7 linked regions of the Cricetulus griseus genome follow. The protein of the gene in region 5 interacts with the protein of the main gene of each other region in a biochemical or structural test. Links are inferred from orthologs where the notes say so. Each region holds a gene or a part of one and is shown on either strand. Other genes may lie near its edges.

The links.
Region 1: the proteins of Hif1a (region 5) and Kpna6 form a complex in vitro, tested with the Homo sapiens proteins (2 studies listed by BioGRID). The link is inferred for Cricetulus griseus from reciprocal best matches to the Homo sapiens genes HIF1A and KPNA6.
Region 2: the proteins of Hif1a (region 5) and Egln2 form a complex in vitro, tested with the Homo sapiens proteins (3 studies listed by BioGRID, with this or other methods). The link is inferred for Cricetulus griseus from reciprocal best matches to the Homo sapiens genes HIF1A and EGLN2.
Region 3: the proteins of Hif1a (region 5) and Epo form a complex in vitro, tested with the Homo sapiens proteins (2 studies listed by BioGRID). The link is inferred for Cricetulus griseus from reciprocal best matches to the Homo sapiens genes HIF1A and EPO.
Region 4: the proteins of Hif1a (region 5) and Fhl2 form a complex in vitro, tested with the Homo sapiens proteins (2 studies listed by BioGRID). The link is inferred for Cricetulus griseus from reciprocal best matches to the Homo sapiens genes HIF1A and FHL2.
Region 6: the proteins of Hif1a (region 5) and Egln3 form a complex in vitro, tested with the Homo sapiens proteins (5 studies listed by BioGRID, with this or other methods). The link is inferred for Cricetulus griseus from reciprocal best matches to the Homo sapiens genes HIF1A and EGLN3.
Region 7: the proteins of Hif1a (region 5) and Mta1 form a complex in vitro, tested with the Homo sapiens proteins (2 studies listed by BioGRID). The link is inferred for Cricetulus griseus from reciprocal best matches to the Homo sapiens genes HIF1A and MTA1.

The regions. Positions count from the first base shown.
Region 1 is NC_048595.1:23,348,937-23,353,236, forward strand, and holds the start of Kpna6 (importin subunit alpha-7), read left to right. Parts: upstream 1-1,500; 5' UTR 1,501-1,515; coding exon 1,516-1,735; intron 1,736-4,300. UniProt on the Homo sapiens protein: Functions in nuclear protein import as an adapter protein for nuclear receptor KPNB1. Binds specifically and directly to substrates containing either a simple or bipartite NLS motif.
Region 2 is NC_048602.1:8,757,270-8,761,356, reverse strand, and holds the start of Egln2 (prolyl hydroxylase EGLN2), read right to left. Parts: upstream 2,801-4,087; 5' UTR 2,706-2,800; intron 2,437-2,705; exon of another isoform or gene 2,304-2,436; intron 1,667-2,303; 5' UTR 1,431-1,666; coding exon 546-1,430; intron 1-545. UniProt on the Homo sapiens protein: Prolyl hydroxylase that mediates hydroxylation of proline residues in target proteins, such as ATF4, IKBKB, CEP192 and HIF1A. Target proteins are preferentially recognized via a LXXLAP motif.
Region 3 is NC_048597.1:116,408,862-116,413,075, forward strand, and holds the start of Epo (erythropoietin), read right to left. Parts: upstream 2,801-4,214; 5' UTR 2,713-2,800; coding exon 2,700-2,712; intron 2,146-2,699; coding exon 2,003-2,145; intron 1,520-2,002; coding exon 1,433-1,519; intron 1,165-1,432; coding exon 985-1,164; intron 164-984; coding exon 8-163; 3' UTR 1-7. UniProt on the Homo sapiens protein: Hormone involved in the regulation of erythrocyte proliferation and differentiation and the maintenance of a physiological level of circulating erythrocyte mass.
Region 4 is NW_023276807.1:5,371,111-5,374,610, forward strand, and holds part of Fhl2 (four and a half LIM domains protein 2), read left to right. Parts: intron 1-1,301; coding exon 1,302-1,488; intron 1,489-3,500. UniProt on the Homo sapiens protein: May function as a molecular transmitter linking various signaling pathways to transcriptional regulation. Negatively regulates the transcriptional repressor E4F1 and may function in cell growth.
Region 5 is NC_048598.1:129,464,591-129,468,090, forward strand, and holds part of Hif1a (hypoxia-inducible factor 1-alpha), read right to left. Parts: intron 1,193-3,500; coding exon 1,086-1,192; intron 1-1,085.
Region 6 is NC_048598.1:148,126,438-148,129,937, reverse strand, and holds part of Egln3 (prolyl hydroxylase EGLN3), read right to left. Parts: intron 2,970-3,500; coding exon 2,850-2,969; intron 1,377-2,849; coding exon 1,240-1,376; intron 1-1,239. UniProt on the Homo sapiens protein: Prolyl hydroxylase that mediates hydroxylation of proline residues in target proteins, such as PKM, TELO2, ATF4 and HIF1A. Target proteins are preferentially recognized via a LXXLAP motif.
Region 7 is NC_048598.1:180,939,068-180,943,233, forward strand, and holds the start of Mta1 (metastasis-associated protein MTA1), read right to left. Parts: upstream 2,801-4,166; 5' UTR 2,739-2,800; coding exon 2,646-2,738; intron 1-2,645. UniProt on the Homo sapiens protein: Transcriptional coregulator which can act as both a transcriptional corepressor and coactivator. Acts as a component of the histone deacetylase NuRD complex which participates in the remodeling of chromatin.

The sequences.
Region 1 (4,300 bases), on a different chromosome or scaffold from region 5:
TTGTGTATGTGTATGCACAAGCAGGTATTTTTGTGTCACAGAACGTGTGTAGAGACAATGTACAAGTTTCAAGGGTTGGAAACCCCTGTGTACCAGAAAGTCCAGGGCCCAGCTCTGGTGGGTCATCAGGCTTGTGCAGTAAGTACTTTTACCTGCTGCCATTTCTCTGGTACTTAATGTCTATGGTTTTAAAGCAGATGGGGCGGGGGGGGGGGGACAATTGGGCCTGGAGATGTGTGAGGTAAGGAGTCAAGTTAGCATGATACATTTTACTTGAGTATTTCTTTTCCTCCTGTTGAGTTTTTTCCCTTCATTGGCCAGGCATTTGGGTAGACTTGGCAATTTGTGATAGGCCCTAAGGTCCAGATACAAGAGTCTTCTTTCTCCTTACAAAAGATGGAGACTAAAGATTGGCCATAACCCCAGCTCTGTGTGTGGCACTAGGTATCAGCCCAGCATTCCTTGATTCAGAAGGCAAAAGCTTTAATTTCCTCATCGCTAGGAAAGGGAGCTCACTAACTTGTGAATTTCTTTTTTCTTTATTCATTCAGTAGTCATAACCCAGGTGGTGGCCATGGTGTTAAGCAATACAGAACTGACCCTTACTCTAACTCGTGAGGTTAGTGTACTCTGCCAAACACACACACACACACACACACACACACCCTCTCGCTGGAGAATCTTTTAAACTCCTCTTGGTGCGATAGTGCACACCTGTGAGCTCAACACTGGGAGGTGGAAGCAGGAGATCTGGAGTTCAAAGTCATCCTTATCTACTTATCAGAGGACAGCCTGGGACACCCCCAACCCTGTCTCACACAAACAAAATAAAATAAAGGTCTGGAGCCTTTCATCCCAGTGCTTGAGAGGCACAGGTAGGTGACTCTGAGTCTGCTGTCTGCCTGGTCTATAGAGAGGTACAGGTCACCCAGAGGCATATAGTGAAACCCTGTCTCCAGTGAACAAAAATGAGAAACAAACTCCAGTCTAATCTTGACTCCTTTTCCTTATCTCCATAGCCTTGAACAAGTCACTTCCCCTCTCTAGACGATCCTTATTCAGTTCTATATGGCCTTAATTATAAAAAGAAGGGGTGTCTTTCTGGGAAAGGAGGCCTCACCATAAAGAAGAAATAAAAACAGGAAAAGTTGAGAACTTGGTACATTGTTCAGTATATATTCTTTGTAGTCCCCTTAAGCCTGTCTATTCCTTCCCTGATTGACACCTGGAGTGGCTGCCTTCTGGGGCCTTATTTTAGGTTTTTTGTTTTTTTGTTGTTTGTTTTTTTTCCTTGGTTTTTCGAGACAGGATTTCTCTGTCTTTGGAGGCTGTCCTGGAACTCTCTATAGACAAGGCTGGCCTCGAATTCACAGAGATCCACCTGCCTCTGCCTCCCGAGTGCTGGGATTAAACCACCAACGCCCAGCTGCCTTCTTCTTTAAACGCCTGCTCACCCTGTCATCTCCAGGAGGGAAAGGGGCGTGAGGGTTGAGAACGCGTTTAGTACGGTATAAAATGTTTGTCCCTGTCAGGCCGCCGTCCTGCAGGTCCGCCATATTGTCTGCCGAAGCTGCCGCTGAAGCCACAGCTGCGGCCGCCGCCAAGTCTGAGCGAGCGGAGCCGCGATGGGTGAGTGAGGCAGCTCGCAGATGGGTGCTCGGGCTGAGGTCTTGGGGATCGGGGTCTGCGAGGGCCTGTCTCTCGTCTGAAGGAGATGTCGGAAGCGTCCCGATAGGTACGGGAGGAGAAATCGGGTCGGGAGTGCCCCTCAGGCCAGTGCAGGGCCGGCGCAGGGCCGCACGGGGAGCCGCTCCCGGGGCTGGTTCCGGATGCCCGGCGCCCCCGGTGTCCCCACGTGGTGGCCTCGGGCCCGAGCTCGCGCGTCCGCGGGGGAAGGCAGGGCCCTGCCCTCGCCCTGCGCCAGCCTGCCTGCCTGCCTGCCTGCCTGCCGGGGAGCTGGGAGCGGGCTCGGGCGGCAGGCCCGGCCGCCGCCACGGGGAGCCCGTCCCCGCGGGCACTGGGCCGACGCGCTCCGGAGCGAGGTGAAGCCCTACCTGCCCACGTAGCGGGGAGAGCCCCTGGAGAGGAGGCGCGGGGCAGGCCGGCTCCCGACCGGTAACCAAGGGCAGGCCGGGTCCAGCGCAGCCCGGGCCTTGGAAGGCCGGGAAAATGCCCCAGTTCGGCTTGCCTCGGTGACAGGCTTCGTAGTGTTTAGAGAGCCCAACGCCAAGACTTCTTGGCATAGGCAGGCCAGAGATTGGAGGTTTCTGGACCAACTCTGGTTGGTTAGCAGGAAAAGAGAGACCTGTTGATCTTTTTTTAAAAAAGAGGACTCTGGATACGAAGGCCCCTGCCCAAAAGAGTACGATGGTGAAGTCTTTGAATTCAGAAACAAAACCAGCACTGGTAATTTATTGCCATCAGTAAAGTAAGAACTTTGCTAATCTGTATGTGCAGACATTGTTGTCAGCGCTTAATGTGTCTTGTTTAGCCTAATTCCAACCTAGTGGAGTGGTTGCTGTTGTTGTTCCTATTTTACAGATGGGGACACTGAGGCTTAGAGTGGTAAAGTAACTTATCCAAGGTCACACAGTGATTAAAACAGGGTGATCACTCCTGAGCTCTAGGATTTAACTGCTTTTTATGCTTTGGCCCCCTAGTGGTGGGCTGAAGGAAGGAAGGGACCGTTTTAACCCTACATAAAGTTGTGAAGGTATTTTGTTAGGGGTCCAGTTTGAAACCTTTAGTCTGAATGAAACTCAAAGGGTTCAGGGTGAATTGCTGACCCCCACCAACTTTAAGAGAAGCACCTCAATGCACTTCTGAAATTTCTTATGATTCCTGATCCTAAGGGAACACAAATTATTTTCCCTGCCTGTGATTTTCAAATCTGAACTGGCCTGACACTTCTCACACCTCATCCTCTTACTTAATTTACAAACAGAATTGCATAGAGAAGGTGTCTAGCACAGTGTACAACAGAACAGTATCCCTCCGTTTCTGAGCTTTCTCATCTCTAGAAAGGGAGTGTGCAGAGCCTAGCCAGCTCTATAAATAACGTGGCATTCTTCCCCACCTTCAGTAATAGCCGTTCTTTCCCCTCCAGAACCTTGTAGAAAGTTTAAGAAAGATCTAGGAGCAACTGGAGCCCTGGAAGGCAAGAGGTAATCTAGATTCATTTTTACAGATTGAGAACAATCTCAAAGAAGATAACATAGCTAATAAACAGCCTCCAGGAATGAGATTCTTCCACATTTTACTGCATATCAGCCTCTAAAATTTAAGGTGGAGCCGGGAGGTGGTAGCACACACTGTCACTTCAGAGGCAGGAGGATCTCTGAGTTCAAGGCCAGCCTGGTCTACAGAGTGAGTTCCAGGACAGCCAGGGCTACATAGAGAAACCCTGTATTGAGAAAAACAAAAGGGGGGGGGTGTTAAGTGAGGTATCTTTTTTTTTTTTTTTTTTTTCTTGTTAGAATGTGAAAGTTCTTCAGCACAAGAGCAAGACCTGACCAAAGTCCCAGAAAGAATTTTTAGTATATCAAGCCAGGTGACTTCCCGCTTAACTTCAGTGATCAAACTAAAGTAAGGATATATTTAATCACAGTGTGTAATCCTAGGTAGTTTGGGTAATCTCCATTACAACAGTGAATTGGTGCTTTGAGAAGATTAGGTAACTAGTGCAAGGCTAGTAATCGAGGCCCATTGGGTACTGGTTATCATATAGCCGGTCTTTACCCAGAGTCTGCTCTTTTGCCTCTTTACATATACTCTCCCAGGGCCTATATGTTATACTTCACTACTCACTTAATAGACCTTTGTTAGTGATTCCACTGTCTGTGTTGGTGAGGAAACTATAGATGTTCCTTTGCTCTTGATTTCTAGCAAAGACCTCAACCATTTGAATTCTAGTGGGTGCTGGCTATCTAATCACCATTCCCACCATCCTGCTAACGGGAATTTGTCATTCTCTTCCAAAATCCAGGGTGGATCTTGATTAATATAAACTCTCAACAGGTCTTTGTAGTTCTGTTGTCCTAGGCAGTGGTTGATTAGGCTGCTTAGATGTGAAGGGAAGTATGGGGAACTTGTGGAAGAAACTTTCTTATTTAAAGCTGCCTTTCTGGCTTTTTAAAGATTATTTGCTACCAGAAGTTGATGGTACACACTTTAATACCATTACTTGGGAGGCAGGGGCAATCAGATCTCTGTGAGTTTGAGGACAGTCTGTCTGGTCTACAGAATGAGTTGCCAGGACTATTTCACAAAGAAACTCTGTCTCGAAAAATAAACAAACAAA
Region 2 (4,087 bases), on a different chromosome or scaffold from region 5:
TGACCAACGGTCAGAGGGCGCACAACAGGGACTAGGGCAGGGAGGAGTGGGGAGGATGTGGACAAGGGCTCTACCTGGACCAGCACACTGGCATCCAGTGTCACCTCCAGGAAGCAGCTCTTGGTGCAGATGCCAAGAGTAGGCTCACAGGGCAGAATGTCGCCCAGGCCAGGTGCTCAAGCAGACAAGCCAAACCCCATCTTCAGCCTAGGCTACCTCAACACTGCCACCCTTCCCTCCTGGGTCTGCCATCTGCGGGCCAGCAGACAAGAACACACTCCCGCCAACCTCAACCACCCTCGGTCTAAGGTTAAGACGAGTCAGCCGCTCTTGATCTCCCGAGGGCAAGGACCACTGCCATCTAGGCTCAACTACTTTGCAGGTACAAAACTCAAAGTCCAGTGGGAGGAAGACACGCAGGTCCCCACAGGCAGGTAACTGTAGACCCTCCGGTGGAGCTGCCCATGGTGTTCTACACAACCCCAGAAACTTGCTTCCAAACCCACACGCCAAAGCACGAGGCACTCACCAAAAAAGTGCCTTACCTTGGTGCGCCCGTTGATGACGTAGCTGCCCAGCCGGCCCGCACAGTGGCGGATTACCGTGTCCACATGGGCCATGAGGGCACCAATGCTCCTGCAGCCTGGCTCGTGGCCTTCTACCCAGGCAATCTGGTCCCCACGAATGCTGCGCGGTGGGATCGCCCGCTGGCTCACTAGCTGCCCATCGCGCAGGCGCCCGCCCCGCTTCAGGGCCTCCACCTCGGCCAGCACGCGGCCACCCAGTGTCGCCCCCAAGAAGTTGTCCTTGACGCAGATACCGTAGTACCGCATGCAAGGCACAATATAGTCCAGGGCCAGGCGCTCCGGTGCAGAGGGTGGGGCCTCCTCCCTCAGCCTAGCACTTGCCTCGCCACTGCTACTGGTAGTGTTGTTGTTGCTGTTGCCACTGCCGCTGCCAACGCTGTCACAGCCCACACCACCTTCCCCCTTGGCTTCCTGGTTCTCTTGCCTGGCCCACGGCCGCTTGCTGGGTAAAGGGGCATCCCCACCATCCTTGGCCCACTTCCGTTTGGGGGCCTCAGGCCGGGCACCCTGGGCCGCCAGTCGCTGGCACTCCTTGGTGACCAGAGCAGCAGCACCTTCACTCTGCAGTGGCCACAGCTCACCGCCATCCTGCCCACCGAAGCCCTCCCGAAGGGGACTGGCGGTGGTAGTGGTAGCTGCGGCTGTGGCTGTGGTCCTGGGAGTCCCGTTGCCAGCCGAGGCCTCACCCGATGCTCCTGGGCGGTGGTAGGAGGGTAGCAGAGGGCAGGGCAGGTAGCTCTCCACCCCCATTCTGGCTCGGCTAGGCTCCAAGGACTCTGACACAGACCCCGGCAACTGAGGGAGAGACTGATTCAGGGCCTGCGGCTGACACGGGCTGTCCATGGTAGCAGTGTCTTCATCCCCCGGGCATGGAGGGCACGGCCCGGGCCCATGGTGCCACCCTCCTCCGCCTCCTCCTCCTCCTCCACTGGATGCAGCCGGGGGCCGCCGGGCCTGGCAAGGGGCAGGGTGAGGCAGGGCAGGCAGCAGGGGCTCCTCTGGTGCCCCGGGGATGCTCCTCGCTGGTCCCCAACTTCACAGTTGTCCCTAAGAGCTCCAGGAGGGACTGGTGAGGGTGGCTGGAAGGGAGAGAGGAGGGAGAAAAAAAAAAAAGGACTTAAGAGGAGTTAGGGACAAGCAGGTGGGAAGGGGCGGGGATGGTGCCAGCAGGAAGGACATAACACAGGGCCCACAGCAAACACATAACACACACGCGCTGAGGCCTCAGCGACACTGGGGTTTGGGGGGGGGCGCAGAACTTGGGAATCTGAGAGAGGGGGATGGCAGGCGGACAGAGTAAGACAGAGAAAGTGCAGAGGGGGAAACGCTGCGAGGAGGGCCCACAGAGAGAGAGGAAGGCGATCAGGCTACAGATACGATCCAAGAGATCTGAGGAAGAAGAGGAGCAACAGTGAGCAACGGAGGGCGTTGGGGGGGGGGTACCTGCCCGAGGGCTCCATAGACACACTCGGGACAGATGGGGAGAAGGACACAGAAAACGGGGACGGGGGATCGAGGGTGCCAGCTCGCACGTTTGCGGGGACCAGATCGCTTGGGTGGAAAGGAAGGGCCACGGGCCCCGCGGGCCGGGCGGGGAGAAGCGGCGGGGAGGGGGGGGTCCAGGGACAAAGAGAACGGCTGGGGGGGGGGCGGGAGGACCGCTGGGGTCGGCCCGTGCCCCCGCGGGAGGAGAGCCTGCCGGGGCCCGACACACACCCGGACGGAAGGGAGGTCCTGCCGGACAGACGGACTGACGGAAGGGAGGCCGGGAGGAGGGTCAGACCCGACGGCCTCCCTCCCAACCCCCTCCGCGGCGGCGGCCCGGCCCCTCCCCTGCCCTGCCCTCCCCTCGGTGGCCGCCGCGCGCCCCCGCCGTCCTCAATGGCTCGCCCCGCCCCTCCCCGCCCCGCCCCGCCGCGCCGGGCGCGCGCCTCTCCTTCCCCACCCCCACCCCGCACCCGCACCCGCACCGCCCGCGCAGGGTCGCGCCGCCGCCGCCGCCGCCCGCCGCCGCCCGCTTCCTGCTTCCCGCCCGCCCGTCCGCCCGGGCCGGCCCGATCTCGGGCTCCTTCTCCCTCCCTCCCCGGGTCCTTCCCTCTCGCACCGCCACCTCCTCACCGAGCTTTTTCCTCCGGCCTCGGCGCCGCCGTTTGTGCCAGCCGCCCTGCGCCTCGCAGCGCGCCATACCCCGCCCCCCACGGCCCGCGACGCCCCGCCCCGCCCCCGCGACGCCCCGCCCCCGCCTCGCCCCGCGGGCACGTGACCGCGGCCCCGGCCGAGCAGACTGCGCGTGCGCGACACCACCACCACCACACACAACCCCCCCCCCGCACGGGAGCGGAGGGAGCTGGGGCGGGGCCGCCAGGCTCATTTGCATCTCCGCGCCCCGCCCCTTCCACGCCGAAAGCAGGAACGCAGCGGACTCCGGGGGTAAAAGGAGTTCTGTGGATTTTCTTTTTTTTTTTTTTTAATAAGACGGCGCCGGGGCTGGAGAGATGGCTCAGAGGTTAAGAGCACCGACTGCTTTTCCAGAGGTCCTGAGTTCAATTCCCAGCAACCACATGGTGGCTCACAACCATCTGTTATGAGATCCGGTGCCCTCTTCTGGTGTGCAGATATACATGAAAGCAGAATGTTGTATACATAATAAATAAAATTTAAAAAAAAAAATAAGACGGCGCCTTGGAATCGGGGCGGGGGACGGGGGGGGGGTGCAAAGACGGCGCTTCACCGAGAAAGTGCCGGAGTCTGCTATGCAAATGTGTCATTTACATAGGCAGCGCCTCCACGCAGCCCTGGGGGACACTGAGAAACGGCTGCGCACTTAGCTGGAAAGTGTCTGTAAATTCCTACGTCAGTAATTTACATAAGCACTTTAAAAAATAAAAATAAAATGAAATAACGGCGAGTACCGGATGTCCTCAAGAGAAGCCAAGTCGGATGGAACAAACGAGCAAATGTGTACTATTTGCATGACCCCCTCTCCGCCGCGGCTGCTCCCTCAGGGCAACGTGGGAGTCACATTAAAGCCACCTGGGGCAGACATTCGAAAAAAAAACGGGCTCCTCTGTAGTCCAGGCAGATTTTTTTTGTTTGTTTATGCAGTAGAGGGAACTGAATCCAGAGCTTCGCACAGGCAACGCACATACCATCGATGCCACTGTTCCTGGGGGGCGATGTGGATAGGGTTACTTGAACGCCCCACCCCTTCCACCAACTCCTGGGCCTACCAGGTGGGCAATCAATGGGTTGCTGACATTTGGGGAGAGCGGCTGAAGCTGTCCCGAGGGGCTACACCTGTCCCCAAAAGCCCATATAAAGACTTCAGGGCACAAGGAGATACACACCAGCGAGTATGAGCAGGAGTCCCGGTTGCACACACACACAAAAAAAACCACAGTGGCACACAGGTTTACACACACACACACACACACACACACACACACACACACACACACACACACACGGAAACAAATCTACACCAGAGCACACACAAATCT
Region 3 (4,214 bases), on a different chromosome or scaffold from region 5:
TGGCAGCTCACCTGGCCCCTCTCCTGCAGGCCTCCCCTGTGTACAACTTCAGTTTGCCCCGGAGAAAGTTGGAGTAGACCCGGAAGAGTTTGCAGAAAGTATCCACCGAGAGTGTTCGGAGTGGAGCAGGTGGGGTAGCATCTGGAGGTAATATCGATTCCTTCTGTCAAGAGAAAATAGGATATCACTGCAGTGCTGAGGACTGCAGATGAAAACGTGACAAAGGACAGGTGGGGGGTGAAGAGAGTCCTCAGTATTATTTGTGTGGGGGTGTATGTGTGTATGTGCGTGTGTGTGGGTGTAGAGGCCAGAGGTGTGTCTTCTTCAGCCACTCTCCACTGGCTGGATGTGTGTAGGTGCCAGGAGCTCGGATCCCCTAGAGCTGGACTTCAAGGTGGCTGTGAGTACCTGGTGTGGATGCTGGGAACTGAACTCTGGAAGGGCAGCAAGCACTCTTCATCATGGAGCCATCTCTCCAGCCCTTCCGCCTTAGTTTTTGAGACAGCATCTCTCACTGAACCTGGAGCCCACCAACTGAGTAGAACTGGCTGGCCAGTGAGTCCCAGGAATCTCCCGGCCCTGGGGTTCCATGTGTGCTCCACCTCACTTTGTTTTTGGTTTGATTTGTTTTGTTTTGTTAACAGAAATCCTGGAGATTGAACTCAACGTTTGTGCACCATGCACGCCACCACTACATCGCCCAGCCTGTGCTCTCAGTGTCCTTTGTTTAAAATGTGTTGTTACATCGATTCATTCATATATGCATGCACACCACAGCCTGTGTGTGGGTGGAGGTGAGAGACAAGCTGGAGGAAACCAGTTCTCTTCTCACTGTGTGACTTCTAGGGATATTAAATTCAGGGCATCTCACTTGGTGGCAGGCACCTTTACCCACTGAGCTATCTTGCAGGCTCAGCCCTCAGTTCTTTAACAACTCTTGGCCCACCCTGTAGAAAGGGCAAGTAACAGTCCACACCTACTCACCTGGGCTCCCAGCACCCGGAGCAGGGAGGTGAGGCTGCGCAGGCCACTGATGGCTTTGTCTATATGCAGCTGAAGCATCTCTGATGGTTGGGAGGAGTTGCCTAGCAGGGCCTGGCCCCTCAGGATGGCCTCGGAGAGCAGGGACAGGCCATGCCAAACTTCTACAGCCTGTTCTTCCACCTAGAGGAGGCAAAGGGTTTAGAAAGAGCCAGCCAGAGTCCTTCCCTCTGTCTCCCTGGCTATCAGACACCCTAGCGGAGGTGGACAGGACAGAACAGCACACAGTAAGGCATGGATGGATGGATGGATGGATGGATGGATGGATGGATGGATGGATGAGCTAGCATATTCCATCAGTCATTATCTTTATCATTCTTTCTCCCACACTATCAAGGTGTCAGACTGAGACCCACCTCTAGGAAGGAGAAAAAAAGAAAAGAGAACTCACCGCCTTTCTTTTCCAAGCATAGAAGTTGACTTTGGTATCTGGGACTGTAATATTCTCACTCAGTCTGGGACCTTCTGCACAGCCCATCTGCAAGACACAGCACCTGGTCAAGACCTCCAAAGGTTTCATTCACAAAAAGCCACCAGATACTCTTTGTCTTTGAATGTTACTGGGCATGCTTTGGGTGCCACCAGCTTTATCATGCTTTCTTGTTTTGGACAGTCAGAGTTTCAAGTTTGAGGCTGGACTCAGCTTATGTAACAGAGGATCACCTTGAATTTCTGATCCTCCTACTCCATCTCCCAAGTACTAGGCATGTAGGTTTGGGCCATCACAAAGTCTCGGCTCCTGTGGTGCTGGGGAATTGAGCCCAGGGCTTCTTTCACACTAAGCAAGCACTCTACCAAACTGAGCCACAACCCTCTCCAGCATTATCACTGGGGGAAGGGGGATGGAAGAGCTTTAGGGCTAAACATCTCATCTTGACCTGAAAAGCCGTGCTAGGAAGGAACTCAAATTCCTAGCTCCCCAAGAACCAGTTTCTTTCTTTTGTGGGGCCGGGAAGCTTACCGTGACGTTCTCTGCCTCCTTGGCCTCCAAGATGTACCTCTCCAGAACTCGGCTGTCGCAGATGAGGCGTGGGGGAGCGCAGAGGACTGGGAGGCCCAGAGGAAGCAAGAGCAAAGACAGCAAAAGCGGCAGGGTGGGACGTTCTGGAAGAAAGGCGGGCTGGGTGTGAGGCAGGGAGGGGTGGGGGCTGCGGGACTCCAGAGGCTGGTTTGCTCAGCGAGGCTCCTCTGCCTTCTAGTCTCGGCTGACCCCGACCTTGCAATTGCTTAGGCTCTGCCGGAGTGGCCTTCATTCTATCTCTCGGCGCTGCACACCCCACCCCCCAAGCGACCGGCATCCACTTCTCGGCCAAACTTCACTGTAAGTGCGCGCCAGAGGCTGGCAGATCCTGAGAAGCTGGGACTCCTGGACGCAGGTAATTCTTTTAGCAGCTTCTCATCCACGGAGCAGCGCCTCGACTCCCTAAAATCCTAAACTTTGTCCCCGTCCTGGATCTCCCCTTTTTTGTCATTTGCGGGAGGGCTCCCCAAACCCCTGAGTGCACGTGGAAGCTACCCCACCCCCCTCTCTCCTCCTAGATCCTTGGCGAGTCGCAGGTCCTTGTACACGGTCACTTCCTGGCCAACAGCTTCAGATGTAAATCCTTGCTCAAACAGGAGCCCCGGAGGTCACAGGTCCCTAGCCTGTGAGTACTCACCGGGCACCCCCATCTCCGCGCCTGGCTGCCAGAGCCCCTTAGTGACCCGGGGCTGGGCCAGTGTCCACGCTGCTAGTCTTCATCCTTAGAAGATCTGTGGGACCAGGTCACCCCACTCGCCTGAAAGAAGGTGGTCACCGTTCAGGGAGCGCGGGCAGAGCGGGGACGCGGTGGCCCTGGCCACTGGTCTGTTCGGGAACACAGCAAGACGCAGCCACTGGCCAGGCTTGGTCCGGGGACATGTGGCTCCGGTCGGGGGTCGGGGATGTTATCAGCATGTGTGCGTGCGCGGGTGGGGGTGGGGGTGAGGCTGTGTGTGCATGAGGGGTCGCCAGGGGTGGGGGCCACCTGGGGTCAGAGCAAGGAGCAGGACGCCTGGGTCTGGGGCTCGCTGGGGTGGCGAGGGCTGTTCCAGGCACGCACGCTGTCAGGGGGGTCTTCCTTAGGCGGGTGGACAGATTCTGATTTCCAGGAGGGGAGCTCAGTGGGGTGCACGTCTATGAGATGTGCGGGAAACCTAAAGTGAGGAGCTGACCTATGGAAAGGCTGGGCATGTCCTCTGGGGGGCGTCCTTATCTCGGGACAGGGATTGATCAGAAACACCTAGAGTTGGAGACTGGAAGCAAAACCCAAGGGCTTTCTCTCCTCACGACTTGCTCTAAAAGCCAGAGCTGTTCCTGTTGAGGAATCAGATGCAAGCGAGGGAGGACTGTGGGGTTCCTCCCCTCTCACCCCTCGTTTTCTAGGACCCTAAAAATCCAGAAAGGTGACTTTCAGGGCAGGAAGCCTGTGGCACGTTGCTGAGGACACGTGGGCACGTTGCTACTGGGTTTTTGCTTTTGTTTTTGCAGTGCTGAGGCCCGAGCCCTGGGGCCTGTACATTAGGCAAATGCTCGGTTAAATGAGCTCCCATGCCCTTATTGAGGGACTTGAGGCAAGCTCTCTACCGCTGAGCCACACCCCCAGCCCCTCACTGGGGAAGTCTTGGCAGGAGCTCTACTGCTGAGCTACACCCCTGTAGCCCCTAGGTTCTATTCCCAGCATCCATATGATGGTTCACAACCATCCATAACCCCAGTTCCAAGGAACCTGATGCCCTCTTCTGACCTCTGAGGGTACCAGGCACACACATATTACACACACATATGTGCAGGCAAAACACCCTCACATAAAACAAAATATATAAATCTGATCTTAAAATGTAAAGATAAAAGAAATGTTTGTGGAATATATACTGCTGACTGGGAAGGGACCTGAGGACTGAGTCATGTATGACACAGTTAAGAATGCCTGCCCTGGTGACATTCTAGTGGGGAGAGATGGACAACGGACAGAGACCTTCAGTGGCATTAAGAACTGAGTGGAGGAGGCTGGAGAGATGACTAGCAGTTAAGAGCACCCGCTGTGTTGTAGAGGAGCCAGGTTCAGTTGATAACAACCTTGTGGCAACTAATAACTATGTGTAACTCTAGATTGAAAGCATCGATGCCTCCTTCTGGACTCTGCAGGTACTCT
Region 4 (3,500 bases), on a different chromosome or scaffold from region 5:
GGGGGAGAATAGAAGGGGTGAAGAGAGATGGAGATGGGGGAGTGTAGGGTTTAGGAGACAGTGGATGTGAGATCCAGGGCACAGAGCAAGGACCTCCAGGCAGAATAAATACCACCTCACATATACGTGCCTCCTGTATCTCCACAGAGCATGGAGGACACAGAACACGTAACATAGAATTTATTTTCCTTAAATTCCATTCCTGGGATAGGGGAGTGACCGGCAAATGATCTTTAATGTATGGTTTAATGACAAGAGAGCAGGATAGAAGGGAGTCTCGATTCTTCTTGCCTTGTCATTAACCAGCTATGACTTCATTCTTGGACAATACCTGGGTCTCAGTTGATTCTTCTGCAGCTTAGAAACAGCATCTTGCTGCACAAGCATCATACAAGGACCCCAGAAACTGCCGAATGCTGCCACACTGTTCAAAAAGGAAAACAACAACAACAAAACAAAACAAAACAAAACAAAAAAGATGTGGTCTGGAGTATTTCCTTTTTTTTTTTTTTCCTGCTTCTTTCACCACCGCCTGTCAAGCTGAGACCTATTCAGACTCCCCCGATTTCTGACCCCACTCTTCATACATGCTTCCAATTCCCACGAAAAGCAGTATTTCAAGGTAATTAGATGCAGTTGAGGGATGGCGAGCTGTTTAACACTTTGCACCATCTTCGAAAACCTGTGTCTGTAAGACAGGGTGAGGATAAAGGTTCCCAGGATGCAGGTCCCTTTAGCCCACACCAGTAGGTGCCAATTCCAAATGTCTTTAAGCCTCTCCTGTCCTGCCCTTGTAGTTACTGTCCAGGCTGGGCATGAGAATAAAGCTGGAGAGGTCACCACTTGCTGGTATTTGAGAGAAGGCTTCCACAGAGATTTGTCCACATCTTCATCAGTGCAACGTCATAGCGCTGAGGTCTTGTGCCTTGACTCTTCAGCTACAGGGATGCTCAGAAGAAGGCATCGATGTCCTCAATGTTATCTCTGATCGTGACTGCACCTCTGCATCACCTTTGTGTTTGGGAAGGTGACAATGCCCCATAACACCCATGCCTTCTGTTCCCCTGCACTAGTGATACCTAAAGACCCATTGGCACTAGGGAGAAAGCCAGGAGCCACATTAGTGGTATGGAGGGTAACATGAGGTGCCTGAGGTTTGAGGTTCCTTTACCACTTCAACAAACTGGACGTTTACAGGGGGTTGAGGGCATCATGCGTCATCCACTGGCAACAGTGGTGACAGATGCCTACCAGAAATAGTAGCCGCCCTGACTCTTGCATTTGTTTCTCCCCTCTCCCAGCCCATCACCACAGGAGGTGTCACTTACCGGGAGCAGCCCTGGCACAAGGAGTGCTTTGTGTGCACTGCCTGCAAGAAGCAGCTGTCTGGGCAACGCTTCACAGCAAGGGATGAGTTTCCCTACTGCCTGACCTGTTTCTGTGAGTTGTACGCCAAGAAGTGTGCTGGGTGCACCAACCCCATCAGTGGTAAGCATCCACGAAGGCCACTGTCATGGAATGGGCTGTCTGCCTCCTGGAGCACTGGGGAGGCCTAGAGTTTCAGCATGGGTGTTAGCACCCTGAGGTGCTGCGCCCAGCCCACCTCTCTGCTGCCCGTCCTTGGCACGCTGCTTGTGCTTCAGCAGGTTCCTGATGACTTCCCCTCATCTGGTCATGGAGAACCATTGGCCTGTCGTTGAGTGTTTCTGCTGGGGTCTATGAGCCTGCTATAAGCACATGATCAAAATGTATGATTCATTTCAGCCCCAACATCAGACTCAGTATGTGGAAGTGTCCAGGCCATCTTAGTGAGACTCATTTAACCACAGACCGCAGCTACAGGGAGACACAGGGCACATTCTGAGTCGTTTATTCATAGCACAGCACCCAAAGTGTTTGACAAAGTGAGAGCCCCACATGTCCTGGGCTGGCCAGCCAGTTATCAGGTGGAGACTAGATGGCTTCAGACTGAACACTCACCATATATACCAATCAGTGGCCAGGTGGGGAGAGAAAAGTGCAAGTGTTCTGTCAAATGTAGGAATGTTTCTCGAGGTGGATTTTCCAATCCCATTCACTCATTCCATCTGGTTTAGTTTGCTTTCTATTGCTCTGATAAACACCATGATCAAAAACAACTTGTAGAGCAAAGGGTTTATTTCATCTTACTGCTTACAGTCAAGCAAGAAGGGACGTAAGGGCAGGAACCTGAGGCAGGAGCTCAAGCAGAGCTAGGGAAGAGTGCAGCTTCCTGCCTTGCTCTCCGTGTCTTGCTAGGCCGGCTTCATAACCCAGAACTACCTGTCCAGGGGTGACACTCCCCACATTAGGCTGGGTCCTCCCACGTTGATTGTTAATCAAGAAAATGCCTCAGAGCCTACTTGCCAACAGGAAGAGGTTCCCTTTGCACAGATAACTCTACGTAGTGTCGAGTTGGCAAAAAGTTAACCAGTCCACCATGGCTTTATCCTCGATGTACAATCAGCAGACATAATGTGGCAGGGAGCAGCAAGCCACGGATTTTCCCTGTACCTCTGCAGACACGCACACCAACGTTCGCCTTGCCTAGAACCAAGTCACCTTGGTCCTACTCCCCTTTCACATTGGCAGGACTCTGGAATGTACCCAGAGCTTATGCTTTATTTGCATGTAAAATCAGAGTATACAGAATACTTACATTTTCCTTTGTCAAGACATCTGATTCTAGTGCTCATATACTCTAATTTTCTTGAAATTAGTTATGGAGGAAAATGGGACATTTCTCAGTAATACATCATCTTTGATGCTGTTTTTTTTTTAATAACTTCTGTTGAGGGAAACATTTGCAACACTTTTTAATCTGTGGGAAAACCTCGTAAATGTGAAGGACTTTAGTGCTAGACATGCATGTTTGTTGCAGTTATCATAGAATTCTGAAAAAAACAAAACTCTAGGACGAACACGATTCTTCCTTTAAAACAGCAGAATTAGTTCTTTGAAAAGCAGTGACAGATTTTCAAAAACCATATAGAAGGACTGTCAAATTGCAACTAAAATGTGCTTTCAGACAGATTTCCAGAGACTTACACCCTGAGCTTGGATGAAGTTTCAGACAGGTCTTTAGTGCTTTTCCTCTTCAACACAGTCTACACTGCTTTTGTGAACAAATTGGAAAACACTACAGATTTTTACCTGCAGCAATGCTTGCTTCTCATCTGCAGTCGATCATATTATTTTACCCACACAGATTTGCAAGCGTGTCTAGTCTTTAAAAATGATTTGCAATCTTAAAACAATACCCCTGGTACTTTTAGTGACCCACAGCTGTGTACAGAGCAGTAGTAGTTTTGAGTTCTCAGTCATCTGTGTTTCTGGTTGACACTAGACAAATGAAGCCCTGCCTTTGTGTTCCAGCTTTTTCAAGACAGGGTTTCTCTGTGTAGCTTTGGAGGCTATCCTGGCACTTGCTCTTGTAGACCAGGCTGGTCTCGAACTCACAGAGATCCGCCTGCCTCTGCCTC
Region 5 (3,500 bases):
TCAGACTAGAGACTGATCACAGGGTACATTTAAGAAAATGGAGCTGGGTAGTGGTGGTGCACCTCTTTAGTCTCAGCACTCAGGAGGCAGAGGCAAGCAGATCTCTGTGAGTTCGAGGCCAGCCTGGTCTACAAAGCTACATAGAAACCCTGTCTCAAAAATAAAAAAAGGGGCTGGCCAGGTGGCTCTGTGGTTAAAAGCACTGGCTGTTCTTCCAGAAGTCCTGAGTTCAATTCCCAGCACCTACATGGCAGTTTACAACTGTCTATAACTCCAGTTCCAGGAGATCTCACATCAATGCACATAAAATAGTTAAATAAATTCTTTTTAAGAAAAAAAAAAAGAAAGAAAATGGTACCAGTTTTTTTAAGCACCAGAGAACCAATCACTGTAAAAAATTATACTCAGAACATTTGAATATATAAGTTCATGTCATACTATAGCCTTCTGTCAATTCATGCAGTCTAAATTAATTACTGACTTAAGAGAATGTAGTAAATCAATCATGATGATGCCGTTGTGAGTATCCATGCTCTGACTACAACTTAGGCATACTCTGTAGTTCAAGGCAAATTACACTAATTCAATGATACTCAACTCAGTACCCTCAATCATATTGGGAAGTCATGTTTAGGTCCAGATTAAATAGGCAAGTGAGGAATTATGAAGTTTAACTTAGTTTGGTATCATAGATTTATTTGAGTAAAATTCAGAAACCTCCTATATGTCAAGGGTGTCAGTTATCACATGTGTATACTAATCCTACTCACTAGTTCATGAACAAATGCTTTGTGACTACCTCCTATTGACCAACCACTGATTTCAGTACATATGTACGTAGGCTAGATAATCTATAATATTTGACTTTTATGGGATACTTTATGTATTTATTATTAAATGACTTTACTTTTTGCTAATATTTGTAACAAAACAATAATTTCATTATCAAGACATCTTATGAAGGGGCTGTAGGATGCTTGTCTAAGGAGACTGGGTGGTAATTTTAACTAGAAAGTAGAGGTACAGTACAGACTGCAGGACTTAAGCAATGACACTATTTCCTTGAGTTCCTCTACTGTACTTACTGTCATGATGAGTTTTGGTCAGATGATCAGAGTCCAAAGCATGATAATATTCATAAATTGAGCGTCCCAAAAGTTCTTCTGGCTCATAACCCATCAACTCAGTAATTCTGTTTAAAAAAAAAAAAGATTATCTTTTGCTTAATAAGTTTAGAACTCACACTTAACTATTCTATACTTTGGCTGGGCAGTGGATTCCTTTAATCCCAGCACTCTGGAAGCAGAAACAGGTGGATCTCTGTGAACTTGAGGCCAGCCTGGTTTACTGACAGAGTTCCTGGACATCAGGGCTATACAGAGATACCCTGTCTCAGAAAACAAACAAAAAACCAAACAACAAAACCAAAAAACACCCCATCCCCCCCCCCCCCCCCCGGCAAAACAAACCAAACAAAAAAACCCCAAATTCTGTACTTAGTATAAAGTCACTTAGATCAGTCCCTGATATCTGACTTATCCCTTTTACCCAAACTCATGACCTATTTTTTAAAACACATTTCATTATACACACTGTTGGTATCAAAGCAGGGTATATTAGTAAATCTTAATGATGCTAAATGAAATGACAAAAGTTCCAAAGACAGTCACAATTATCTTAAAATACAGTATAAATCTATAGCAGTTTATTTTTCATTCAGTGAAAATCTTTACCCTATTTTTAGGCCTGTGGCAAGGCCTCACTTTAATATCAACTATAAAATTTCACTATTAAGCCAAGGACATCCATACTAAATGGAAAGTAAATATTAATTTTCTAAAATTAAGAGGATTTCACATGAAAGAACGGCATCTAAAAGAAAAAGGGCTGAAAACGGATTCAGGGAGCCTCCTGGTCCCTGGGTATCAGCCTGGAAACCATGAGGACCCATTTTATGAGAAAGACAAGTCTGTCCTCGTCACATTAAACCAATTACAAACATTTTTCACTGAAGTCTTTCTGGGAACAAACATGAACCAAGTGTTGACACTTCTCAGTTTAGATTCCAGAGGACTTAAAAAAAGCCAACAAACAAAAAAACCAAGGTGCAGGTAAAAGATACTCATATGTCTAAAAAGCAAACACCTAATTACAGAATGGGCATAAGGAAGGTATCTTTGTTCATAACAGTATGTTAAATAATATAGCTTAGCTGTTACAGTTTAAGATCTGCCATTTACTCTAAAACCAACAAAGCAGATTTATTGAAGCATAAATCAAACTTTGACTCTTCAAAAAGGGATAACCAAAATACACCAACACTAGATGGCAGCATTACAAAGATAAATAAAATATACTTTAAAAATATGTGTTTTCTCCTTCATCCCAGAATGGTAGTAGGGATTAAATCTAGAGCAGTGATTCTCAACCTTCCTACTGCTGAGACTCTCTAACACAATCCCTCATGTTGTGGTGACCCCCAATCATAAAATTATTTTCATTGTTACTTTATAACTAATTTTGCTACTGTTCTGAATCATAATGTAAACATCTGTGTTTTCCAATGGTCTTGGGCCCCCTGTGAAAGGGCCTGTCAACTGTCAAAAGGGACATGACTCACTGGTTGAGAACCCTGATATGGGGGCTCACAATGCTAGACAAAGGTCCTCCCTACCCCATCTTGGTGCTGGTGATTTGGAGCTGGTGATTTGTACTAGTTTTCAGTTTTAAATGTTTGCTAAGAATTTCTTGCTCTATACCACCTCAGAATCAAGACACAGAAAAAAATTTGCCCAATTTTAAGAAAACCTTTACATCACATTTCTAGCATCCAGGACCATTAAAATGGGCCATCAGGTAAGGCACCTGCTACCAAACTTGGCAGCGTGAATTCAGTTTCTGGAACCCACGTGGTGGAAGGTGAGAATGAACTCCCACAAACTGTCCTCTGTCCTCTACCTTTGTGCTGTGACCCACATGAACCCACATACATGCACTCACACATGCTACCGCTGAGTGTGGAGGTGCATCTAGCCCTAAAAATTATTTGAATTGCTCTTACATAGTTTTACACACGTAAATAAAATTCCAACATAATGAAATACTTTTTAATTAAACATTCATGTTTCTGGTGTAATTCTAGACATGAAAACACAATGAGAAAACCTAACCTGTGGGCAATCTTCTGGTAAATAACTTGCTTGTCATTTTATTATATTTAGATTTAATTGCACACTTTTTCTTTCTTTCTTTTTTTTGAGACACAGACAGACTACAAAGTCCTGACTAGACTGGAGTCCGTATGTAGTCCAGGCTGGCTTTGAACTTTTGGTGACTTCCCTGTCTCAGCCTCCCAAGTGTTTTGAGATCACAGACATAAACCACCACATCCAGAATGTACAGCATCTTTTGATAAATAAAAATCTTCCCATCTACAATCCTACAAGAAACAACTGATGCATTTCTAATAAGAAATTGGCATAATCTGATCATTACCTTGG
Region 6 (3,500 bases), about 19 Mb from region 5:
CTCTACACTCTGCCTGGCCCACAGTGCTTGCTGGGAGACAAGGGAGAGTTGGAGGTAGAAGCATACATAAATATTTTTATCAGAGCTTTCTAGGTTAAGATTAGACAATTCTAAGGTGTTCAGTGACTCTAATGATCTGTATAGCCATGTGCTAAGGAGGAGGAAGGAAGGAGGAAGGAAAGAAAGAAGGGAGGGAGGGAGGGAGGGAGGGGGAAGGAAAGACAGAAGGAAGGACGGAGGGAGGGAGGAAGGAGGAAGGAAAGAAAGAAGGAAGGACAGAGGGAGGGAGGAAGGAAAGGAGGAAGGAAGAAGGGAGGAAGGGAGAGAGGGAGGGAGGGAGGGAGGGAGGGAGGGAGGGAGGGGGGGGGAAGGGAGGAAGGAGAATTTTAAAACATTCAGTTGTAGGTCTGTGATGTAGCTCAGTTAGTTGATAGAGTGCTTGCATAGTGTGCGTAATACCCTAGCATCACAAAAACCCTGTGCAACGCACATGCCTGGAATCCCAGCACTTAGGAGGTAAAAACAGGAGGATCAGAAACTCAAGGTCACCCTCTGCTACATGGTGAGTTCCAGGCCAGCCTGATGTGAGACCTTGTCTCAAAAATGAACGGATGGACAGACGGAGCAAGCAAACTATAGTATCCAATTGTGACGGCACCGATAAAGTTAGCCCAGGCAAACAGAGAGAATAGAAAGGAAATGAATTCAGAACAAATTATTCTTTCCTTTCCCAAGGTTCTTTCTTTGCTTAAACTGACAAACTAGAAATTCACTTGAAGGAGCAGAACTTTTGAAATGTGATAATCAGGATTAGTTCAACATTGGGTTTTTGTTGCTACTGTTTTCTCCTTGACATTTCTGAGCCTAGGTCTCATTTAGCTCATGCTGTCTTGAACTCTCAATCCTCCTGCTTACATCTCTGACTGCTGGTGTAACAGGAGTGTACCCATGCAACTTTAGGGTTTTTTTTCCCCCATAAGGGGAAGGAGGAAGGAACAGAAGGAAAGGGAAATGCATTCTAAGGAACTGAGACCAGTATGCACAAGTCACAGTTAATAGTTACTATAAACTGAAACCTAAAGAGCCCCTTCAATTTCTATCATTCCAAACAGGCTGAGCTGTCAGTTTTGGGGTGTGACCAGCACTTCTTAGTATAGGACATGAGTTCTAAGAGTTCTCCAGGAACTGGGATCCCACACATGGGATCCCTGCAAGAGGGACTGTGGCCCCGGCTCTTACCTGGTAGCATAGGAGGGCTGAACTTCATGTGGGTTCCTGCGGTCTGACCAGAAGAACAGGAGTCTGTCAAAAATGGGCTCCACGTCTGCTACGAATGATTTCCCTTCTGGAAATATCCGCAATACCCCTCCATGTAACTGAAGACCAAGAAGAGGAAGCGTTATCTCCTGGTCTCACATAAAGTTTATCAGCAAGGATGTGTTAGCGCTATCAAAGAGAAATGCCACCTCTACCTCAACTTTAAGTGGGTTTTACTCCCCAAATGTTCACTCCACTTATACTTTGTAGTTAAACTTACGTCAACTTGACACAGCTTAGCTATCTACAGTTCCTCATCCACTTCAGACCAGCATCTTCCCACTCCCATAGCCATGAAGCCCACAGACATAAAATAGCAGACAGTCATCACACAAAACTGTCCATGTCAGAATGCTTCAACCCAAAAAAGCAAGCAGACAAATCCTAAGCAATTTCCTAGCTCCATCAAATATTGTCTAAACATTCATCACAGACAGCTGCCCCTGCAATAACAACTTAGAGCATTTCTCTGAGTTCTTCAAATGCCCATCTGACCTCATTGACTGAACCCTTCCCTGAACTCTCTCACCTCACTGCCTATACATTTTAGGACATCTGTCACTCTCTTCGCCTCCTTTTTCTTTTTCAGATGTACAATCTATTTGTCCTACTGGAACAATCATCTTCTGGGCGGAAACCAGGCTTCATACATCATTGTTTCTACATAACACACATCTAGCGCTGGCAGAAACTCAAACATTTGTTGGTTTTATTCTTCCTCGTTTATTATTGTTGGTCTAATAACTCTGCTCACCATAGCATCCCAAGAGATATTTTTAAGCCCTTAAAGGAACTGTTCCAGTCTTGCTACCAAATAGAGGAGAGATACAATGTTACATACATGACCACAGTCAGAGTGTGCACTAAGGAACAGCCAACAGAGATGCACAGAATCCAAAAGCTAAACAAACTTCTAAAGTTCTCTGAATTTCCCACACTCCTAAGTCATTCTTAACTTTCAGAGAGCACATAAGGGACAAACCATGTCTATCCAGTCCATCTCTACCACCTACCATACAAAAACCAGCCACACAACCTCTGTCATTCACAAGCTACAAAGAATGGCTCCCTATGGGACATACCATCCCGAGAAAGAGGACTGTGTGGGAAATCTTTCTCGGGGACAGTTTGCTATCCCACAGTTCTGCCTTTGTGGAATTCTCTCAATGTTGCTGCTGGGGGGCAGGGAAGGTGTACATTACATGCTGAGCTAAGACTCACATCAGCTCTGCATCCCAATGTTAAATTACCTACCTCATTAACCCCTGACCTTCACAATCACCATACCCCCCCTCTCACCAAACTAACTTTATAGCCACTGTCTTTAATCTCAGCAACTTTGGAACTAATTCCACAAGTGGAAGCAAGGTAAAAAATAGCACAGTGGAGACAATTAGAAACTATAACTCCCCTAAACATACCTGAATGTTTTATCTAATTGAAAATGGCTTGCTCCTCTCAGTGCACCCCTACCTGCACTGTTTATGGCATATATAACCCACTCCAACCCCTCCCCCATTATTCCACAGTACCTTGGCATCCCAATTCTTATTCAGGTAGTAGATACAGGTGATACAGCGGCCATCACCATTGGGGTTATCCACATGGCGGACATAACCTGTTCCATTTCCTGGATAGCAAGCCACCATTGCCTGTGGAGACATCCGAAGGATTCTGTTTAGAAAATCTTAAATAATAGCTTCACCATGCAGCAGGCATATACGGCACATAAATTCGGATCACTATCAGAATACAGAATTAGCATGAGGTAACCTTTGGTATGAAAGCTTAGCAGGCAGTCCATGCCTTAGGACTAGGTGCAGGGTAAATAGTCAGTAATATTTCCATGTCCTAAAACATTGAAAACCTTCTAAAGAAACCCATCTACATCATCAACAAGATGGCTTCCTTTCTTTAACATTCCTTTTTGAAAAAGCATGTCCCAAATTTCCATCTAACCCCACAGGATCAGAATGCCGAGATATGAGGGGCGGACATAGTGGATACACGCATGTACTTTCAATACTCAGATGCTGAAGCAGGAAGGTGGGGAGTGAGATGTCTGGCCTACACAGAGAGACTTTCTCTAAAAGGAAGGAAAGAAGAGAGGGGGGGGGAGGTAAAAGAAAGGCTCTTTGGTGTGGGGCTATGGAACTATGCTTGTTTAGCAATGCCCTGAATTG
Region 7 (4,166 bases), about 51 Mb from region 5:
TCCCCTGTCCATAGACCTGCTCAGGCTTGGTACTGTCTCTCCCTTCCTGAGCCCTGGATTCTGTCCCCTGCACTAGCTGTCCCCTTTTCCTCCTAGCCCCATTTCCACGTATTAGGCATTAATCTTGCTTAGCCTCAGGAGTTTCTCATCACTGAAGGCACTTGTCTTTGCTCTGTAGCAGGGACCTGAGGCAATTTCATGTGTGTTGAACTTGCTAGCTGTGGATGGAAGCCAGGGACATCAAGTGAGTTCATGGTGCCTTGTTAATCTCAAGTACTGAAGGGCGAAACCTAGAGGACCTCTCACAGACTGTGGAGATCAGAGGTACTGTCTACCGTAGACATCCATACTACAGGGGTCCATGGCAATGGCCAAAACGGAAGCCTGGATAGGAGCCCCATCCCAGTAACAGAGGTCTGACACTGAGAGACAGAGAGGCTGGTCTACACCTGGGAATCTGAGACTGCCAGCCCAGCTCACAACTCCCTACTACTTGACTTGTCCTTGGCACTTGGCTTTGAGACACCTAGGCTACAATGTCACTCAAAATGATGGGGCTGACACAGCTCCCATGTGCTGGGCCAGTGGACACCCTCTGGTGGCTGCTCACTGCAGCTGGGATACTCCTCTACAAACCTGTTTGTTCATGTCCAAGTCTGTGTAACTGAAATGTGTAAATGAGAGCCTGTTGGTCCACACCTATAGTAGCTGGTAGAGTTCCAGCTACCCAACCTACTATCTTGCCTATTGACAACTGTGGCCAGAGCCAACCATGGGGCACCTGTCTAGGATCTGGTCCCAGTGAGTACATCAGAGGAAACACTAGTGCCCACCTAGGCCATGACAGGCCTCAGGTCTCTAGAAGCTACCTGTATGCTCGGACCAATTCATCTTCCCAAAACATCCCCAGATGTGTGCACAAGCACACACGTGTGTGCACACACACGCACGCTCATACAGAGCTTATCCCCGGCTGTAGAAGACGCTGCTGTAGCAGCACACCGCCTTGGCACAGCCTGGCAACATGGGTTCCAAGGAGCTGGTAAGGCCAGACCTAGAAGCTGGGGCTACACCTAAGCCTCCATCTAGAGCCACCTGCAGGGCTGGTCCGGTCTCAACATGGCCACCTGCGGGGTAGCATCCAACCTTGCCCTCTCTGTCCCATTTGATCCCAAGAATCCCAAGCCACCATTCCAACAAGCCTGAGTCTAGGAGAGCAGCCCTTCTCACTGGTCTATGGTACTCAAGAAGGCTATGGAGGCCCTGTCACCACCCAGCCTGGCAGGAAAGAGTGTCTACAAAGACACAGGTCTGGGAATTTGGTCGGTCCTGCTCTCTGCCTGGCACTAGAGGAAGCAGAGCAGGGATAGGCCTGCCTACCCCAGCCTCTAATCACGTGGGACTTTAGAGCCAAGAGTGGGCAGGCCACATTTGAGGCTCACAGTAGGGATATGGCCATGAGATCCTTGAGACCCAGAAGGGACAAGAAGGTTCCTGGTATGCTTGCTATGTGACTGTGCTGACCTGAGACCACCTCACTCTCCAAAGAGCCAAAAGGTCACTCCAAGCAGAGTAGAATGGAGCCGAGTTTTTGGAATCCATGCATCCATTTCTCCACACTCCTAGCCACCACCCTAGGTGGTGTGTGACTATCCCAGGGTTCTAGCAATGGAACAACCATGCCCCCAGACCAAGGATTCAGTGTCTGCCAAGGATTCCCAGCAGACACAAACTATGGCAGAAGCAGCGACTGGGGTAAGACACCAATAGGACCCCAGGGTATAAATACTGCACACACCCTCAACACTGTAATGGACAGAGTAGACAACTTTGCAGTGTTCATGGTAGTCCTATAGCCAGGAAGCCACCTAGGCTAATGGAAATGGGAAGAGAATGAGGAGAGAGAGAGTGTGGATGAGTGGCACAGAGGGCCACTGCCCTTGGTCTGTGACTAGTCTCCAGAACCATCCAGATCCCTCTGAGTCCTGATGTGCTCAAGTCCATGAGGGAACCTGCCTTAGACAGACCAGTACTTGTTGGGAGATGGGGTGCCGGAACTGGTGACGCCTCAAGGTAGCCCCACGTTTGTCCTCAAGAAGCCTAGGCAGGCTGGGCGGTGGTGGGACACTCCTCTATCCCAGCACTCGGGAGGCAGAGGCAGGCAGATCTCTGTGAGTTCGAGGCCAGCCTGGTCTACAGGGTGAGTTTCAGGACAGGCTCCAAAGCTACAGAGAAATCCTACCTTGAAAAAAACAAAACAAATAAACAAAGCAAGCCTAGGCATGGGCTGGAGAAATGACTCAGTGGTTAGGAGCATGGGATGTTCTTCCAGGGTTTGTTTTAGATTCCCAGCACCCACATGGCAGCTCACAATAACTCTACCCAGTTCCAGGGGATCCAATACCTTCTTCCAGCCTCCTTAAGCATGGATATACACGCAGACAAAACACCCACACACATCAAAAAAATAAAATTAAAAAAAAAAAAAAAAAAAAGAAGCCTAGACATGGCCACAGGGACTCACTCCCAGCCTCCCCTGGAAGGACATCAAAACCCAGGTAGGAAGACCCTGCCCACCCACAACAGGGAGGCTCCACCCCTCCCTGCCAGGGTCAGGCAGCAGCATCACTGTGTCGAGCTCTTACCTTATTGAGCTCTTCAATCCTGCGGATCAGGTACGGGTTGCTGGAGGAGTTCTCAAAGTAGACATAGTCTGCAACAGAGAGGTCATCATGCATAGCACCAGGGCTCTAAGCCATCCCCACCATTCTCAGAATCCCTAAGAACTGGCTGTGAGCCTCAAGCAGACCCTCTAAGCCCTAGTCCCACTCTGCTAGGGGTCAGAGGGCTGGGGAATAGAGGAGGCAAAGCCTCTTCTATTGGATGGACAGAACCCATCCAGAGGGGTGCTGGGCCAGATCACAGCTGGTGATGGGATTGAGGGGCTGTCCTGGGATTGGCCTGCAGTCCTCAAACATCCAATGTTAGCTGCCTTCAGGAGCACAAGGCTTAGTGGGAAGGCTGGGGGGGGGGGACTAACTTCAGCTTCCCCATAAAGCCCAATTCCAAATATCCCGAGGCCCCTGCTCAAAACTACTGGACAACGCTCCAAGTAGCTGCTGCAGGCAAGAACAGTGTGTCTACCATTCGCCACCACAGGCCAGGCTCCACAGATAGACACGGAGACTTTCAAAGCTGGCAGACCCAGCCTGGACAGCTCAGATCACCCTACTACCACAATGCTCCAGCAGTCCCAGGGCAGACGGTATGCTGGACTGTCTACTGCCAGGCTGGCAGAAGTCCTTGGCACTGAACCCCTCCTTAGTGGAGCTGACTGGAAGGTTCCTCCTATTGAAATGGGCAGAGGCAGCAACTGCAGTTCTCTGTCCCCATGTGGGCATGCACTTGCAGGCCTGTCACTGCGTTGCTTCCTGAGCCTGTGCCACCCAGCAGCAGGCCAGCCACAACCTTACAACTCCAGCAGTTAGTGCACAGAGGTTCACACCAGGGTGAAGGGTCACCTGGAAAAGCAAGGCCCACAGGAAGGAAAGTGTACGGTAACAGTACTGGAACAATCTCTGGGCTTAGATTTGGGACTCTCCTGGGGCCCCTGTGAAAACACCCTGATGAATTCCATCAATGTGGATCATTTCTTAATAAAACTAGTTTTTTTTTTGTTTTTTTTTTTTTTAAAGGCATCCAAAAGCACTGGTGGTTCAGTGGTAGAATTCTGCCTGCCGCACGGGAGGCCCCAGGTTCAATTCCCAGCCAATGCAGAAATGTACTTTGAGTTGGGCGGTGGTGGTGCACACCTTTGATCCCAGCATTCAGGAGGCAGAGGCAGGTGGATCTCTGTGAGTTTGAGGCCAGCCTGGTCTACAGAGTGAGTACCAGACAGCCAGAGCTATATGGAAAAATCCTATCTCAAAAAACAAAAAAATTTTAAAAGGAAAAAGATATCTACAATCTAAACTTCCATGATCACAAATCAAATTAAGGCCCAAACCCCAAATTATTCATACTTGCCAAAAACTGAAATAAAATCCAATGTCTCCCAAGTAGAGAACAAGCAAACAAGCAGAGATGAGAGGCACACAGATATCCTGGAGCAGGGGATGGTGGGCACTGGTCTGGGGTGGGGTGCACCAGGACAGGAGGGCTCACTC